Linked DNA regions of Rattus norvegicus. The protein of the gene in region 2 interacts with the protein of the main gene of each other region in a biochemical or structural test. Links are inferred from orthologs where the notes say so. Each region holds a gene or a part of one and is shown on either strand. Other genes may lie near its edges.

What was found. The genes of interacting proteins can lie anywhere in the genome.
Region 1: the proteins of Ptpn11 (region 2) and Pecam1 form a complex in vitro, tested with the Homo sapiens proteins (4 studies listed by BioGRID, with this or other methods). The link is inferred for Rattus norvegicus from reciprocal best matches to the Homo sapiens genes PTPN11 and PECAM1.

Annotation. Positions count from the first base shown.
Region 1 is NC_086028.1:92,131,270-92,134,920, forward strand, and holds part of Pecam1 (platelet endothelial cell adhesion molecule precursor), read right to left. Parts: intron 3,428-3,651; coding exon 3,134-3,427; intron 830-3,133; coding exon 527-829; intron 1-526. UniProt on the Homo sapiens protein: Cell adhesion molecule which is required for leukocyte transendothelial migration (TEM) under most inflammatory conditions.
Region 2 is NC_086030.1:41,024,516-41,028,266, reverse strand, and holds the start of Ptpn11 (tyrosine-protein phosphatase non-receptor type 11), read right to left. Parts: upstream 2,189-3,751; 5' UTR 2,013-2,188; coding exon 1,999-2,012; intron 1-1,998. UniProt on the Homo sapiens protein: Acts downstream of various receptor and cytoplasmic protein tyrosine kinases to participate in the signal transduction from the cell surface to the nucleus. Positively regulates MAPK signal transduction pathway. Dephosphorylates GAB1, ARHGAP35 and EGFR.

The DNA of each region.
Region 1 (3,651 bases), on a different chromosome or scaffold from region 2:
TTTGGCTCCTCTTCCTCGTGCCTTTCCCTCCCCACCCCAATCCCCAGCATGGATTTAGGTTGTCCCAAATGCTGGTCAACGTTTCACCCATATTTGTGTCTCTAGTCCTCTTTCATTTTTACACTGAGAGATGGTCTCACCAAATTGCCCAGACTTCCCTTGAACTTGTTCTATAGCCGAGGCTAGCCTTGGACTTTCAATCCCCCTGCCTCAGCATCCTGAGTAAGTGGGATTGTAGGCCTGCACCATCACACCCAGTCATTCCCGTCCCCTACTTATTCTTTCCAATTAATGACATTTATTTATTTGGCTCATGGGGAGAAAAGAATCTCATAGCTGAAGGTTAGTCTTGAATCCCCGGTCCCCCTGCCGGAACCTCACCAGGGCTGGGATTAGTCTGTGCTACCAAACTTATAATTATGAGAGCAGGCACCCCAAAAGGAGGCCAGCTTCTCTAATTCCGGGCTCCTTTTTGCTACATGCAACCTGTCATCACAAAGGAGGGTAGAGAGGGCAGGATTCTGACCCTGCACAGTGACGTATTCACTCCGGATGAATTCTGAGGTCTGCATTTTGATTCCGGACAGGACGCCAGCTTGGCAGCGAAACACTAACAGGTGGTCTTGCTCCTCGATGGGGAATTCTATGAGCACAAAGTTCATGTTGGAGGTCTTCTCTCTACTTAGCTTGACGTTCTTTGTCCCCAGTTCCACTTTTTCAATTTTAAAATATATTGGTGGCTTTTCTTCTTGCATGGAGCAATTGACTGTCACAATCCCACCTTCTGTCACCTCCTTTTTGTCCACGGTCACCTCAGGCATGGGTACACCTTTGGAAAATGAGAAAGTGCAGTTAGGATAAGTTCCTCTTTTTTTTTTTTTAAGATTTATTTATTTTAGTTATATAAGTACACTGTTGCTATCTTGAAGAGGGCATCAGATCCCATTACAGATGGTTGGGAGCCACCATGTGGTTGCTGGGATTTGAACTCAGGACCTCTGGAAGAGCAGTCAGTGCTCTTAACCACTGAGCCATCTCTCCAGCCCAGGATCAGTTCCTCTTAATGGCCCATCTCCCTCATCTGTCACTGTGGCTGAACGATATTAGGACCCTTTAAAGTCAGCCCTACCTACCTCAGGTGATCACTGGGCATCCGTGTGCCTGGCACTGTACGGTATGGTTTAAAAATATAACACAATGGTGTTCTCAAGGATTTGCAATCCCCTTCGGAAAATCCCAGGTGTGGTGATGCACACCTTTCATCCTTGTTCTTAGAAACAGGCAGATCTGAGTTCAAGGCCAGCCTGTTCTACCTGGTGAGCTCCAGGACAACCAGGGCTACGGAGTGAGACTCTGTCTCAAAAGTAAAAAAAAAGCGTCATGAATCTTTCACTGCCCCCCCCCCGTGTGTGTGTGTGTGTGTGTGTGTGTGTGTGTGTGTGTGTGTGTGTGTGCGCGCACGCACCTCCATGTGGAGGTCACAGGCCAATATTGGGCATCTTCCTCAGATAGATCTCTCACTGAACTGAACTTGTATTTCACTAATTCAATCAAGCTGAATGGCCAAAACCCCAAGCATCCTCCTGTCTGTCTGCATCCCCAGTTGTAGGATTGCAGGCATCCCAGGACATGGGTACTGGGGATCTGCACACTCATGTCTTCTGTTAGAATGGAAAGCCTTTTACAGATTGAGCTATCCCTGGCCTCTGTTGTAATTTATTTAATGCCCACTACAAGCCTCAGTCTTCACCCAAAATATAAAAAATAGGCCAGTTGTTGTTCTTTGTTTTGAGACAGGGTTTCTCTGTGTAGCCCTGGCTGCCCTGGGGCCTTGCTTTGTAGACCAGGCTGGCCTCAGACTCACAAAGACCCACCTGCTTCTGCCTCCTGAGTGCTGGGTTTAAAGGCGCGTGTTTTTCAACAACCTCTGCCCATCTGGAAATAGGCCGAATTTAATCTCTGAGATTTTATAGCCCAAAAGAGCAGATGGGTGTTTGGGGAAACATGTTTCATAACAACTAAGACACAGCCTGGGAAATGCTCTGTGGGGTGACGTCATCCCGGGAAGAGAGTAAGTTTACCCAGACTAAGATAGCATAACGTCTCTAGGTTACCTAGTGGCTTGCCCCATGGCCTACTATGGTCTGTATTGTTCACCACTGACTGAAGTCTTTACCTCATGCAGTTGTACACCAATGGGCCAGAAGCTGTTTAAGCACTCCAAATCCCCGACTGACTACTTCACTCCACTCATGAGGATTCCAGAACTTAATGTTCTTGCTACATTTTACTTAATATTTGTTTGGTGTTGTGTGTGGTCCCAAGAGTACTATGGTGTAGGTGTGTAGGTCACAGGACACTCACTATACGAGTCAGTCCTCTCCTTCTACCACGGGGTCCAGGGGATTGAACGCCACTTCTCGGGTTTGACCGCAATAACTTTAACCTCCCAGGTACCTCTGTGGGTCCTGAAGTTTAGAGCGGCTACCGGACTTGTCCAGATGGTGACTCAGGCAGAGAGACTGCAGTCTAGTGGGGTTTCTTCTGTTTTTCCAGACTGGGTTTTTCTGTGTAGCCTGGTTATCCTAGAACTCACTCGGTAGACCAGGTTATCTTGAACTCACAGAGTTCTACCTGCCTCTGCCTTTGGAGTGCTGGGATTAAAGGTGTGCGCCACCGAGGCCTGCCTCATGTGGCACAGCCTGCGGTCTGTCATTGTCACAGAGGGGCATAAACACTGTAAGGGTTGGTGCCTTGGAAGAAATCAACTCTGTTGAGAAAGTGCTAGAAGAAACCCAGTAGCGAGTCATGGAGCCGCTCGCCCTTAACACTAGCGCATGCGCAGGAGACTGAAGCCAGCCCGGGCGGTGGGGAGACTGTTTCAGAGACAGTGTTGGGAGAATAAAGTGTAGTCTGTTAAGGAGGATGGGGAAAGGTGTTCCCAAGGCCCGGACACCATCCCTAAGGAGGATGTTCTGCCCTCACACAGAGGGAGTTTCTAAAGCCTGCAGTTCCAGGTCCTGATGGCAGGTAGTGAGCAGGAAAGGTGGAGAGTAAGGGAGAGGGAAACCAGTGTGACTGGCGTCACCGTGACAGCATGACCGGCTCGCACCGTCCAAGCCTCCGGACTCACCGTTCACCGTCAGCTGGTACTCAATTGTGGTTTTTTCCTTGCTGTTCAGTATCACGGTGCATTTGTACTTCCCGGCGTGGAAGACCCGAGACTGAGGAATGACGAAGCTCTCTGTGTGCTCACTGGAGGAGACGTTGTACACCAGCGCATCGTCCTTATAGAATAGCACCTGGTGCTGAGGCCTAGATTTCGAGGTGGTGCTGATATCGACAAGGCACTGCAGGGTCAGTTTCTGCCCATTCGATACCTCCCAGGAGGGCCGACTTTCCATATGGATGCTGTTAATGGTGAAAGCTGAGGCAAAGCAGAAGGATGGCAGACACCGTTACCTCAGAAACAGCATGGTCTAGAGGGATACAAACCCACGCACACAACACACACACCACACCACACACACATCCACACACCCTACACATATACATACTACACACACGTCCACACACAGCACACACATACACCACACACGTCCACACACATATATAGACACATACCACATACACATACTATACCATACATAA
Region 2 (3,751 bases):
TCCTCGGACCTCTGTGCGTGCACACACAATATTAAACAAAAAAACATAAAAAAAAAAAAAAGAAAGAAAGAACCAAGACCATTCGGGACTGACGTGAAGATACAGAAAAATCCATGGAAGAGAACCGAGTCAAGAAACAAACTCACATGAAGGACAAGTATCCTTCAACAATGGAGCAGACTCTACCTGTGGAGAGGTTCCCCAGCAGCTGTGCTGGGACAACTGGAGAGCCCCATGGAATAGAGAGCAGGAACCCACACTTCACACAGTAATCAATTACTGACCCCAGGAATGAGGCATACACATGCATTCACATGCTTGCAAGCTACCTATACATGCAAAATCAAAACAGATCTTTATAAAACTAGGAAATCAGAACTCAAAGATACAGACAAGCTGTATGCAGCCCTCACAGAGTAAGACTGGAAAGTAAACAGTGACAGCCCTTCTGTGGGCAGGCTGCAAGTGCCTGTACACAGTAAATTCAGCCATTCAACTTGTAGATGGCCACCGAAGAGGTGAGACCATACTGAGGCCTTTGCAGGAGCATTCTCAGAATCACATGTGAGTGACAAATTCTAGAGACAGCCAAAGGTCTGTCAGAAAGGGTAAAAAAGGAAACAGCCCTACAATGGGAACGCTATACAATTGGCAGCAGCCGAGTAATAGAACTCTAGCAATATGGATGGATCTGTGAACGTGGACGCTGTACGCTACGCCGGGGTGTGGCGGCACGTGTCGCCAAGCCTGACAACCTGAGTTCAATCCCTGGAACCTGTGTGGTAGTGAGAGCCAATCTCCATGTATCAATTTCCGACCTACAAATGCATACCATGCCTTGGGTCCACACACAATGAATAAATACATGTTAAAAAAAACTTTCAATAATAAAAATCAGGACACCCCCCCCAAAAAAAAACAGTCCATAGTTGTCTAATGTCATTAATACAAAATTCTAGAAAAGTAACAACCAAACAGTGGTCGAAGGAGAGCAGAGGACTGGTAAGAGAGAGCTGAGAAAACCTTACCAGGAGTGGTGACATCTCCCAGATGTCAAGGTTTATCATGTTGTCTGCCGGATCAGAAGCAACTTATCTCAATAAAGCTGATTTTAAAACTAAATAAAACAAGCTTTTATAGTGATCCAGACTGTATAACCCCAGCACTTACAAGGTTGAGAGGTAACGGGAATGTAAGTTGGAGGCTAACCTGGGCAACACAATGAGAGATTCTCTTTCCACCTCTTACCAAGGTAAAAGGCCACAATGTACTTAATTCTGGAAAACTCAATTTGGTCCATGTTTAGAAAGGGAGACCACCACCCACCTCGTACCACTGCGGTACGTGTTAAGCTGGCTTCTAGTAAGAGCGAAGTCAATGTCAATAATTGAGTCTCTGAAGTTGAAACTCACTAATCCTCCTCCTGATCTCAGCTTCCAATCCTATCCTGTGACGAGCACTTTACTTCCGAGCCTCAGTTTCCACATTCGTAAGACGGGAACGCACTCGTTACCCGAAGGAACAATTCCACGACCAGATACAGTTCCCTTCCCTCCCACCTTTCAAAGCAAAGATCACAGTGGGGTTGGGAACACTCCCAGAGGCTGCAGACAGATTCAGTTTTCCCACTTCTGGCACTTGGGGCGAGGGTGAGGAGGCGAAAAGGGGGCACCTGAAAGGGTCCCGTGTGAAGGCCCCGCGGTGGCCCGGGCGCCTCCCCGAGCGCGCGGGGTTATTTCGGAATCCCCAGGAGGCGACGCTCATGAGGCAATGGGTCAGGAATGCGACGGCCGGCCGGGCCGCGGGTGTCCCCACGGGCATCCCGAGTCGCGGGAGCAGGAACTCGGGGCGGCAGGAAATGAATGGGGACCCGCGGGCGGGGCGGTGGGGCGGCGGGGACGCCGCGCCAGTGGGGAGTCCGAGTGTAACCCCCAGCGGCCGCGCAACACAGAAGCGGCGGGGACCCAGGCCGCGGCCCGGCTCCTGCGGGCGGCTCACCTCCGGGATGTCATGTTCCTCCCGCCTCCGGCTCCGCACGGACCCGCTGCTCACTCAGGCTCCACGAGGCGCCGTCACATGGAGGGGGCCGAGTGAGGCCCCGCTCGGGAGCCGACACGGGAGCGGGCAGAGCCGGCCGGCCGCGCGCACAACCCCTGGCAGGCCTGGATCCCGGACACTGCGCGGCCGCCCCGCCGCCCGGCTCGCTCCGCCCTCGTCCCCGCCCCTTGCCGCCGGCGCCGACGTGAAGTCATCACGCCCGCCGCCACAGCCACTTTCTGCTTCCGGTTTGCAGGGCCCTGACCAGTGCTGGAGGTTGGGGAGGGGGGCCTCCTCCTCCTAATCTGTGCGGTTTACAGACTTGAACGCCAGGGAGATTCTTCATCTGGGACGCCGCACATTAGTGCGAGTACACACTACGCATCCAGTGCGGGTGCACACGTGAAAAGCAAACAAATAAGCGGAGGATGGGGGAACCCGAGTTCGGTTCCCAGCACCTGTATGGGGCAGCCCACAACCTCCTGTAACTTCAGTTCTACCGGATCCGCCATCCTCCGCGGGCACGTGCACATACCCACACATTTATAGATAATGTTTGATGATTTATTCCTTTTGCCTCACAAGGTGGTGTACCCTTTAATCCCAGCACTAGGGAGGCAGAGGCAGGTGGATCACTGTGAGATCGAGGCCAGCCTAGTCTGTATTGGGAGTTCCAGGACAGCTAAGTAGGGAGACCCTGTCAAAAAGAGAAAGAAAAAAAAAAGATTTATTGCTTTTTATATTTTTTTAATGTTAGTGTATTAGTAGTCGCCTTGCGTGTAAGTATGTGTGTAACTGTGTGTGTGTGTCTGATGCCCAAGGAGGTCTGAAGAGGACAACAGTCCCTGATAGAGTTACATGGCAGTGAGCCACCATGTGGGTGCTAGGAGCAAAACCCACGACCTCTGATAAAACAGCGTTCTTTACTGCAGAGCCATCTAACCAGCCTCCCGTTGATTTTTTTTGGGGGGTGGGGAGGGGGAGTTGTTTGTTTTTGAGAACAGAAACCTATATGCCATGGCCATACTTCGACAGCTTGAAGTAAGATGAGCACGGTTTTCTTCTCTTTTTGCCGTTTCACCCATATTGGGATTAGCAATCCTGACAAGTGATTCTTTTTCTTTTTTTTTTTTTTTTGGTTCTTTTTTTTTTTTTTTTTTTTTTTTGGTTCTTTTTTTCGGAGCTGGGGACCGAACCCAGGGCCTTGTGCTTCCTAGGCAAGCGCTCTACCACTGAGCTAAATCCCCAACCCCCGATTCTTTTTCTAAATTAAGAAATTTGACCTTTTCCACTTCAAAGAAACACTCCATAACTTCTCTTTTGAATGTCCAAATTTGTTAGTACCAGTGCACTACTCTGGGGGTTGGGGTGGGGTCTCTGTTAGATAAATGCAGGTTTTCATGAACAGCTGCATCTTAATGAAGTGTAAAATTATAAAACTGATATACTGGGAGCTACATAGATGGAACAGCAGGTAAGATAAACTAGGGGGCTGGAGAGATGGCTCGGCGGTTAAGAGCACTGACTGCTCTTCCAGAGGTCTTGAGTTCAAATCCCAGCAACCACATGGTGGCTCAACCATCTGTAATGGGATCTGACGCCCTCTTCTGGTGTGTCTGAAGACAGCTACTTATATATAATAAATAAATCTTTAAGATAAGATAATCTAGCTGCTTCTGCAGAGGACCAGGTTTCAATTCCCAGCACCAACCTA